3 linked regions of the Stegostoma tigrinum genome follow. The protein of the gene in region 2 interacts with the protein of the main gene of each other region in a biochemical or structural test. Links are inferred from orthologs where the notes say so. Each region holds a gene or a part of one and is shown on either strand. Other genes may lie near its edges. The genes, in order: beta-crystallin A1, cryabb and cs.

The links.
Region 1: the proteins of cryabb (region 2) and beta-crystallin A1 form a complex in vitro, tested with the Homo sapiens proteins (2 studies listed by BioGRID and IntAct, with this or other methods). The link is inferred for Stegostoma tigrinum from reciprocal best matches to the Homo sapiens genes CRYAB and CRYBA1.
Region 3: the proteins of cryabb (region 2) and cs form a complex in vitro, tested with the Homo sapiens proteins (3 studies listed by BioGRID). The link is inferred for Stegostoma tigrinum from reciprocal best matches to the Homo sapiens genes CRYAB and CS.

What each region holds. Positions count from the first base shown.
Region 1 is NC_081380.1:29,961,201-29,964,954, forward strand, and holds the start of beta-crystallin A1, read left to right. Parts: upstream 1-1,145; 5' UTR 1,146-1,200; intron 1,201-1,427; 5' UTR 1,428-1,451; coding exon 1,452-1,484; intron 1,485-1,594; coding exon 1,595-1,713; intron 1,714-3,754. UniProt on the Homo sapiens protein: Crystallins are the dominant structural components of the vertebrate eye lens.
Region 2 is NC_081385.1:12,617,404-12,621,157, reverse strand, and holds the start of cryabb (crystallin, alpha B, b), read left to right. Parts: upstream 1-1,049; 5' UTR 1,050-1,264; coding exon 1,265-1,447; intron 1,448-3,754. UniProt on the Homo sapiens protein: May contribute to the transparency and refractive index of the lens. Has chaperone-like activity, preventing aggregation of various proteins under a wide range of stress conditions.
Region 3 is NW_026728211.1:118,346-122,099, forward strand, and holds the start of cs (citrate synthase, mitochondrial), read right to left. Parts: upstream 2,803-3,754; 5' UTR 2,714-2,802; intron 1,591-2,713; 5' UTR 1,486-1,590; coding exon 1,483-1,485; intron 215-1,482; coding exon 149-214; intron 1-148. UniProt on the Homo sapiens protein: Key enzyme of the Krebs tricarboxylic acid cycle which catalyzes the synthesis of citrate from acetyl coenzyme A and oxaloacetate.

The sequences.
Region 1 (3,754 bases), on a different chromosome or scaffold from region 2:
ATGAAGACAGAGATAATGGGAACTGCAGATGCTGGAGAATCCAAGGTAACAAAGTGTGGAGCTGGATGAATGCAGCAGGCCAAGCAGCATCTCAGGAGCACAAAAGCTGACGTTTCGGGCCTCGACCCTTGCTCTCTGATGAAGGGTCTAGGCCCGAAACGTCATCTTTTGTGCTCCTGAGATGCTGCTTGGCCTGCTGTGTTCATCCAGCTTCACAGGAAGATGAAGACAGTTCAGACAGCAACCTCCTGATTTCCGTATTTAACTGCATGTGAAACTGCTGGAAATTGCTCTCCAGTTTAGTAACAGGGAATGTTGATAGTCTCACTACAATATTTACCACAAAATTTAGCCCATTACTGTCTACTTTAATTGAAACTTTGTGTTTGAAGTATTGAAACTGCTGATAGCATTTTGATAGCTGATCAATGCTTATAAAAATTGCAGTATTTAAATTTTAAAAACCCTGATAACTCGGTGATTGAGAAGTTGAACATCCAAATTTTACACCTTTTATAACTCTTAATTACCTGGGATTTTAAACAAATGACTAGCGTGAGTTGCTTGTCTATACTCTCAGAACATATTGGCCAAGGATAAGACTCTATGCATGTGAATATTCTAAGTATATATAATTGTATCTAGGAACTGCCTTAGCTATTCAATTAAAATCCAAGCACCTAATTATTTAAGTGGTACATCTTTTTAAAGTATATAACCCATGGGATAACAGTCAAAAGCTAAGCCATATTTGTTAGTTATGCATCTGACCTCCATTTTACCAGCAACAGTAACTCATTAATAGATTTTCCAACAAATATTAGCGATAATTAGCTAGCCTCCCATGGTATGATTTCAAAGTCAGTGCTCAAATCAACCCCGTTGTGTTCTGAGTAATTTTCTGTTAACAAAATATATTTAACATTTTTAAATACATTTTTATCTAAAAGTTATTCATGCATTATTCAGATATGCAGATTTTAATCTTTCTGCTCCTGCCCCAGCCCCAGCATAGGGTTGAAACTGAAATCCATGGGATCAGCCACAAACAATGAGATGTTGGCATTCATATCTGCTGCTCACTGGACCACAAATCTGACTCGCTCACTTCTCACTTTCTATTCAATGTTTGACTATAAATAGGAGCGATGAAACTCAACTCAATCATTTTTGGAACCTACCCCAAACAGTTCGGCTCTGGTAAGTTGGGTTTTTCTTGTTTTTATTTTATTTTAACTTCAAATTCCTTTGTTTTGTCTCAATTTGTTTATCCCTGCTTTGTAATTTACTCTACAGCATCAATTTAGCCAGATATAGTAGAACATTACACCAGAATTAGCCAGGATTTTATTGCATCAAATATTGATACCTTTCTCCAAGCCATTGCCTTGTGAAGAAAAATAATGCCATTTGACTTTTTCTTTCAGGACAAGAAACACCAAGCTATAAGCATGGCGCAAATAAACCCTGCAGGAGTTTTCAAGGTGCAGTTTTTGTTCTTAAATATTTAGTCAGAATTGAAACATTAGCTTTTGCTTAAAGCTCCTTTTCACAGAATTTCATGAAATGAGTAACAGTAATCATCTTATTGCAGATTACTGCTTATGATCAAGAAAATTTCCAAGGCAAGAGGATGGAATTCACTGCATCCTGCAAGAATATAATGGACTGTGGATTTGACAATATTCGATCCATCAAAGTTGATTGTGGAGCGTGAGTCAACGGCCTTTACATATTTTTGCAACAAAATAACACAGCCCTAACCGTTACTGTCAAACACATTCTCAAGCAATTTTATCAGTCTTACTTGAAATGGAATCATGGAGATTTTAAAATTCATTGTGATTTGCAAATCATAATCATCAGTTTACGGAAATGTATTTTGTTTTTACCTTTACACACATATTTACATAGCAGTGTTATTGTTGTTCACTTTCTGAAGAGAATTTGGTGAATTTAGACACTGATACTATGGAGAATTAGATTGCTTCATGTATTACTGATCTAAAATTAGTATCAATTAACTGAGGGTTCAATTACATCTCTATTTTTGTTCTGAAGTAGTTTTCACATAACAGCAACATTGTAAATCTAGGGGTGGGGGCAGAGTGGAAGTAACAGGTCCTTGAGCTGGTGTTCATGCTATTTTGCAATGATCAGGTTACAATATAGCCTCAGTCAGTCTTATTGTGGGGTACTCATGAATGTCAGGGATCCCAAAATTCAATTTTTCCCTTAACTTTTATTTATTTTCCGTACTAATCTTTCCAAACTACTTTATGTAACACACATATGCATGAATGGGTGTATATCTCATCATGGTATGTGCATGTCATAAGGTCTAAAGCTGACTTTCCTTCTGCAAAGGAAACATAAATGAGCTCTGTTAAATAAAACGAAGAACTGTGGATGCTGGACATCTGAAACAAACAAAAATAGAAACAGCTGGAGAAGCTCAGCAGGTCTGGTGGTATCTGTGGAGACAAAACAGAGATAAACATTTTAACTCAAGATTAAGGGTCACTGCTAGACCTGCTGAGTTTTTCCAGCAATTTCTGTTTTCGTTTGTTAAAGAGTTGAGTGATTTAATGCTGGCCTATCACGTAATCTATTCTCAGGACAGTATAGCCTAGAATTTTATCCTTAGGTACAAGTTAGAACGTACACCTGTAAAATTGTACACGTGTGTCCATTTTGTCAATGTCAGGTTATCTCCAACCATTCTTCCAATCTCATTAGAATATGTCCAAACTTAAAATGGACATAAAACATTGAAACAATTGGGTCCCAAGGCAATGTAAATCCACACCAGGATATTTGAATTAATTGAATTATCAGTTAAGCACTTTGAAGTTAATAGGTTCAGAAGTTCCAGTTGGAGAAGTTGTGCAATTTTTAATGTGATTTATACTCTGCCAAAAGTATGCATTAATCCATAAAATATGTATTAGCGCTCAGTGTGGTTCTTCTTTTCTCATGATTATTCAAAAATTATAATTAAAAGACCAGAAAAATAACTTTAGAGCCACATTTTCAGCAAGACAGAAACAATGTTGAGATTTCCTCCCATTTTCAAATAGGTGCAACCAGAGGATACTTTGAGAATCTGGCATGTAGCCAGTTTGATGGATGGATATCTGTTGAATTGCACAATGTGGTGGATGGAAGTAAACGATCAAGAAAACCGAGGCGTATTGTATTTATAGTTGATATAATTACTGACACACATCAATGGGCCGGACTCAGCTGTACTGCTTCAGGGCTCAGTTGGGTAATGTTTTCAGACTGGGCTAGTATGACTCTCAAGATAATAAAATGTGAGGCTGGATGAATACAGCAGGCCAAGCAGCATCTCAGGAGCACAAAAGCTGACGTTTCGGGCCTAGACCCTTCATCAGAGAGGGGGGTGGGGAGAGGGAACTGGAATAAATAGGGAGAGAGGGGGAGGCGGACCGAAGATGGAGAGTAAAGAAGATAGGTGGAGAGAGTATAGGTGGGGAGGTAGGGAGGGGATAGGTCAGTCCAGGGAAGACGGACAGGTCAAGGAGGTGGGATGAGGTTAGTAGGTCGCTGTGGGTGCGGCTTGGGGGGGGAGGAAGGGATGGGTGAGAGGAAGAACCAGTTAGGGAGGCAGAGACAGGTTGGACTGGTTTTGGGATGCAGTGGGTGGGGGGGAAGAGCTGGGCTGGTTGTGTGGTGCAGTGGGGGGAGGAGACGAACTGGGCTGGTTTAGGGATGCAGTAGGGGAAGGGGA
Region 2 (3,754 bases):
CTTTTGGTCAGTAAGGATTCACAAATAAAATTCCTTCTGTAGGTTACTCGGGTCTGTTTCCGTGGGAAGGACAAAGCGAGAGAAGGAGTTCTCCTGGATGACCATGAGGCAGCTGCATAGAGAGAAGCACCATCCAAGTGTTACTTTCATTCCAAGCCACGTGAAATCACAACGATCTATCACTGGTTTCCAAGTTGAGGCAGACTCGTCGTTGCACTGACCAGCTATGTGCGCAGTGTCAATTCTGTAGAAAACTTTTTAGAAAATAACTTTAAAACCATGCTTCGAATGTCCCAATGAAAATAAATATAACGAAACATTTTTAAAAGTTGGCCATTAAAAGTTATTTTGTGATGGATAATTCTATCTGCAAGTACATAGTCATTTGTACTAATTTTAGTGTAGTGCACATTTTAATATTACAGCTGTTAGCGACTTCGGTCCTTACTAAGGGCAATTATAAGAGTAAGTACTGGAGTAACTTTACATTGCAATTTTGGAAGGACGTATAAGGAATCCAGCATCTTCTGAAATAGCTATTTTGCTCTGGTTAATTTGTTTTTTTTTCAGTATGGAGAAATGAGACAATTATTCTATGAGATAATTATTTCACTTACAGTCTTCCTTACTTTTTAAAGACTCTGGAAGACATAAAACACGGCGAGAGAATGAAATAGTTCTGTCCAGATAATTCTCTGTTAAGCATTCAGTCACTGCCAGAAACTACACATACCCAGAAAGTTGACATCAGAGGCTTATCACTGGGAGTCTATTTCTGAATTGCAATCCTTCTGTTTGCCATCTTCAATGTTTAAATTCAACATTCAGATAAACGATCAGACAGAGACACAAAAGGAAATAAAATCTTTAATCATTCATTTTTTAAAACAAAACCCGAAACAACATAATATTCCTCTCAGTACAATGGTCTCCTATTGAAATGCCATGAGGTCATCTTCTGTGGCATTCTGAAGCAGTGCCAGCAGAGGAAAAGAGTGATCAGCAGAGCTTTATCCAGCAACGCAGAGACTGGTCCACTGCTTGTGTCAGTTCTAATCCTCCCCCCTAAAACATAAATCCCTAAACAATGAAATCACATGACAGAGTCAATCAGCCTTTCATCAGTTTTCCAGAAAGTTCAACACGTTCGGCGTCATTGTGTATATAAAGGACTGAGACACCAACTGGCCTTCAACCAGCCCCTGGACTGAAGACAGCACAACCACACTGATACACATCCTGCTAATTTTAGAGGAAAGTGAAGATGGACATTGCAGTTCAGACTCCATGGCTACGGCGCTCCCTCATGCCAAATTTCCTCTTCCCCTCCCGTATCTATGACCAGCATTTTGGGGAAAACCTCGATCCTGACTTCTTCCCCTTCTACTGGCGAATGCCATCATCATTGTTCAGGATGCCAAGCTGGGTACAATCTGGACTATCAGAGGTATGTTCGGTGCAAAGTATCCTTAAAGTTGTGGCATTTTCCTAAAATATTTGTTTAACATTTGAATTTCACCACTCGAATCAATCTTTGTGGATGTGTTGCCTGCCTCATAACAATAACGAATGTGCCTAATTGTTCTATGTGTGTATATATATAAAATAAAGAGGAAGGTAACAAACACATAGGTCTGTATGATGAAGTGGAAGATAAATAAACATGTTTATCTATATGATAGAGTGGAAGAAAATAAACATATATGTATCTCTATATGATAATGAGGAAAGGGGGGACATAATATCAGAATAAGGGGACAGCCATTTCAAACTGAGCTCTGAAGAACTTTCTTTGCTAAGAGGTTTGTGGACCTTTGGAAATTTCCATCTGAGAAGGCTATGGATGAGTAGTTGTAGACTATATTCAAGACCAAGTTGATGGAATGAAAGGACATGATAGGATGGGTGTTTGTGAATGGGGGGATGGGGCCTTTTAGGAAAGTGAAGATAACCTTGAGGATCTCTGGAGGCTGGAAATGTTGACTGGACTTGTCCCGCACCTATTTCTTAAGCTCTTACATTGAATCTGTATACACATAAATATATAACTAATTAATACACTTAATTAGTGCAATTAATGGTAAATAATAAGTTTTTTTGACAAATAAATCCGAAGCTGGAACAGTAAGCTCTGTTACCATCTGCAAATTGAAATAAAGGAAAGTTAATGGAATATTGATTTTTCCCTGTAACCTCAAGGCACGTTATGAGGACCAAAGGCTTAGGCTTAATTTTCTGTATCTGAACACATTAATTCCCCAGAAAGCAAGAGTAAGAAAATCTCTGATTGCTGGTAACCTGAAAAGAACCAAAGGAAATGCTACAAATAAATATGATTCACTGGTACATGATAAGTCTTCCAAAGTAACATATAGGACTAAGGTGAGGGGTTCTTGTGCACAAAGGTAATATCCCTACACCAGGGCTCACGTCCTATCCATTCTGAGGGTATATCATCATACATCAGTACAGCTTCATTGAAAATAATTTAGTATCTTGTGGCAGTTTGATAGTCTCCTCCCATTGGGTCAGAAAGTCTGGGTTTAAGTCCTACTTGTCATAGAGGTGTATCCTAACATGTTTGAATAAGCTAATTAAAATATAAATATTTATTGATCAAGGTTTGAACTCTGCTTTAGCTAATAAAATATGAATCACTATGTTGCCTTATCCAGTCTTGTATTTGGTCAGCAAAACCCAAAGTAACTACAAAGTACCCCACTTTCTCCATCCTCCAAAAAGAGGATACAAATATTAATAGTAAAAATTAGCTCAAATTTAAATAACTTAAATTAACAAGTTGGTAATTGTTAAAGCAGTCAATGTCCTGTGATGCTGATTGGGCACATACCTGTGATTGAGCTTTGGAACAAAGTGAGATGCTTACTGATACAAATATGTGGATTAGCAGCATGAGTCAGCCACTTGGTTCCTCATGCTGCTCTGCCAGCTAATAAGATCCCGGGTGATCTCATTGCTCCACATTTCCACCTATTCCCTATACCTTCTTATCTCTTTATTTATGATAACCTTACTCATACATTACCAAAAGGATGTGGATGCTTTGGAGAGGGTGCAGAGGAGGTTCACCAGGATGTTGCCTGGTATGGAGGGTGCTAGCTATGAAGAGAGGTTGAGTAATTTAGGATTATTTACATTAGAAAGACAGAGATTGAGGGGGGACCTGACTGAGGTCTACAAAATCATGAGGGGTATAGACAGGGTGGTAGCAAGAAGCTTTTTCCCAGAGTGGGGGACTCAATTACTAGGGGTCATGAGTTCAAAGTGAGAGGAGGAAAGTTTAAGGGAGATATGCGCGGAAAGTTCTTTACACAGAGGGTAGTGGGTGCCTGGAACGTGTTGCTAGCGGAGGTGGTAGACGCAGACATGATTGTGTCTTTTAAGATATATTTGGACAGGTACATGGATGGGCAGGGAGCAAAGGGACACAGACCCTTAGAAAATAGATGACAGGTTAGACAGAGGATCTTGATCGGCGCAGGCTTGGAGGGCCGAAGGGCCTGTTCCTGTGCTGTAATTTTCTTTGTTCTTTGTTCTTATACCGGACTCTTCTACAAACGATATTGTCAATGCCAGTAGCCAGTTGCTTTAAGATTAAATATTACATGTAGGATGTAGGTTTGAGTTTTTTTGGTTTTCTGGTTTATTTCCAAATGCAACAATGAATATTTGGAAACAATTGCAGTCTCACTCAAATAGACCATAAGATTGCTTGTCTTCGAGAAGTATCAAA
Region 3 (3,754 bases), on a different chromosome or scaffold from region 2:
CACCCCAAAAGCAAGCCTGACCATAGCCACCCCTCCTAAAGGGTGAGTGACAGCTCAATAACGGGCTGGTACTGGTTGGCATCACCCTTAGTACGTGGTAATGGAGTAGCCAGCGTGCAGAGAACCTTTACCAGCATCAGCTTCGTACCTCCTCTGGGTCCAGCACCGATGTTTCATACACCAACCCCTTCATTCCTCGCATGCCACCATATACCTGGGGAGATGGGGGGGGTTAATTAACACACACACATTTAAAATAGAAAACATCGGTAAGCAGGTACAATTCACAAACCAGGGAGCGCACGAGCGAGATGGGCACCCACCCACACGCTGGCACATTAGACGGCAGGGCTGATTAAAATGACAAGATGGGGGCAGGTAATCAGAAAACAGATCTCACAATGACACATATTAGAGTCTTACGGCACAGAAATAGACCCGCGCCAACCGTAATCCCAAACTGAACCAGTTCCACCTGCCTGCCTGTTCTTGGTCCATCACCTTCTAAACATTTCTTATTTTTATCCAAGCATTTTTTCAATATCATAACTGCACCCACATCCTCTGGAAGTTCATTCACACACGAAACCTGTCTTTTTTAAAATCTTCTCCCCTCACCTTCAAAACATGCCCGTGGTTTTGAACTCATCCACCCCATTCACCTTATCTATGCCGCTTGTGATTTCATATGTCAGCCATTAACCAGCAATGCTCCAGCCTCTGCTTATAAATCCAACCTTTCAGTCCCAGCAACATGCTCTTCTGAACCCACTTCAGCTCAATAATCATTGTAGAAAAGATGTTGTTAAGTGAAATAATTAATTTAGACAGCATAAATAATGTTGAGAATATTAGAAACATGAGACAGGTGTAGGAGCCTGTACCACCATTCAATGTGATCATGACTGACCACACAGCATCAGCATCCCTTTCCTGTTTCCTCTCCATATCCCGCAATCCCTTTAGCCTCAGGGCCACACCCAGCTCCCTCTTGCATATACCTTACAAACTGGCCGCCACAGCTTTCTGTGGGAATGAATTCCACAGGATCACAACTCTGACTGAATAAACTTTTCCTCATCTCAGTCAATATTAATAACACGCTGCCCTTTAAACGTGGAGCAGGAGCTCAGGGGATAGATTTTCCAAAGCGACGTGACGCATGTGCCCCAGAATGCTCTTGGGGAAAGACCCTTTGGTTAGAGGCCGAGGCAAGTCTCAAATCCATACCCCACCCCCCCGACACCAACACAGACACACTACCAAAGCACCCCCCCAGCTATAGTCCTGACAACCTGAGAGACGCAGCGTCAGGCTTTGAAGATGCCGAGAACACCCGCTCTCTCAGGGAAACAGAAAGGGAATGGGCGTGGGAAACGATAGCTCAGCCTCTGCCTACCAAACGATTGCTCCACCTCAGCCCCGGGCCTGACCCCTATCCCCGTTACTCACAAACAGGAAACGGAGCACACAAATCCATACCATGTCAACATTGATTTGCCCGATAACTGTCTTGCCATACTGCTTTTTGAAAGCTCGGATCCTTGACTGCTCCTTGGGGATGATCTCTGCAAGAATTTCCTTCAAATTCTACAGGAGAGCAAAAGCATCCGTTAGACGTATTGCACAACGCGGGGTGTGCGCGTGGTCGGTGGAGGGGAAAGCGATGTGGACAGTCTTGGTGAAACTGCGCCCTCGAGCAAGCAGCAAGGCAGCTCCACGGCCACCCAGGTCATACCATGAGATGTCACCTGCTCCTCAACTCAGGCCCCAACATACAGGGAGGGCGGAGGTTAGCGCTCATTTCGAGAGGGGGAGAATATAACAGGGGGCGGAGCAGGTGGGAGGAGGGAGCGGGTAGGAAGGCAGAGGAGGGAGGAAGGGAGCAAGGAAGCAGTGCGGTTGGGCATTAGCAGTATGAAACAGAAGGAATGATGTGCAAAAAGACAGGGTGGTGTGGATGTGTGTGTGTGTGTGTTGGGGTGGAGGGGAATGAGCAGTTGGGAACAGAAAAAGAAAAAGAGGGGAGGTGTGGATGTGGGGCGACAGAGAGAGGGGGCAGCGGAGGACAGAAGGAATAAAGAGGAATGGGGGTGGGAGTGATAGTGGGACAATGACAGGTTACTTCGGCCCATGAGGTGGTTGAGCTGGCAGCTGAAGAGCACAAACCTCAGAGGAGGTTTACCAGGATGCTGCCTGGACTGGAGGGCTTATCTTATGAAGAGAGGTTGACTGAGCTCGGTCTCTTTTCATTGGAGAAAAGGAGGAGGAGAGGGGACCTAATTGAGGTATACAAGATAATGAGAGGCATAGATAGAGTTGATAGCCAGAGACTATTTCCCAGGGCAGAAATGGCTAGCACGAGGGGTCATAGTTTTAAGCTGGTTGGTGGAAAGTATAGAGGGGATGTCAGAGGCAGGTTCTTTACGCAGAGAGTTGTGAGAGCATGGAATGCGTTGCCAGCAGCAGTTGTGGAAGCAAGGTCATTGGGGTCATTTAAGAGACTGCTGGACGTGTATATGGTCACAGAAATTTGAGGGTGCATACATGAGGATCAATGGTCGGCACAACATTGTGGGCTGAAGGGCCTGTTCTGTGCTGTACTGTTCTATGTTCTATGTTCTAAACTTCGGGCAATCTGGGCAGGCCCCCACCTCCCCGCTTGGAAACGGGCCCAGACGGAGGGTCGCTGCAGAAGATGTTGACCACTCACCGTTTTGGTACTTGTATTCCGTGCAGCAAATACGACACATGCAGTGTTCTGTAAAACAAAAGAGAGAGAGAGAGAGAGAGACAGAGACAGATGAGCCTTTGCTTAAATTCATTCAGTATTGACGTCAACATGGAAAGCAAGTTCACACAAGTAGGGTGCTTGAACTAAACTCCTTCGGGTTGTGGCAAGCTCCAAAGATTGGTAAACCATCCCAGGGAAGGAACACCAAGTCCCAATCGAAGTGAGCTGAAGCACAAGTTGGAGCATGTATCTACGTGAGCAAGTGTCTATCTGAGTGTCTCTCACCAATTTGCAGTTGCCTGTACAGTGATGGAGTCATTGACTCACACAGAAACAGAGCCTACAGCCCAACTTGTCCATGCCGACCAAGTTTCCCAAACTAAACTGGTCCCACTTGCCTGCATTTGGCCCATGTCCCTCTATTCACGTACCTGTCCGAATATCTTTGGAATGTTGCAACTGTACCTGCATCTACGGCTTCCTCTGGCAGTTCATTCCACATATGTCCAACTCTTCAGTGTGAAAAAGTTGCCCCACAGGTCCCTTTTAAATCTTTCTCCTCTCACTTAAAAATATGCCCCTTGGTTTGAACTCCATTACCCTGGGTAAAAGACCTTTGTTGTTCACTTTACCTCTGCCCCTCACGATTTTATAAACCTCGACAAGGTCACCTCCTACACTGCAGGGGACAAAGTCCTTTTCAGTCCAGCCTCTCTCTAGAGCTCAAACCACCCAGTCCTGGCAACATCTGAACCCCTCTCCAGTTTAATAATATCCTTCCTGTAACAGGGCGACCAGAACTGGACACAGATGCTCCAGAAGAGGCCTCACCAATGTCTCTGTACGACCTCAACGTGACGTCCCCAGCTCCTATATTCAAAGTGTGCCAAAGACATTCTTAACCACCCTGTGTACCTTGATGCAAACTTCAAAGAACTGTGTACCTGAACCCCTGGGCGTCTCTGTTCAAGACAACACTACCCAGGGCCCTATCATTAATTAGGTAAGTCCTGCTGTTGT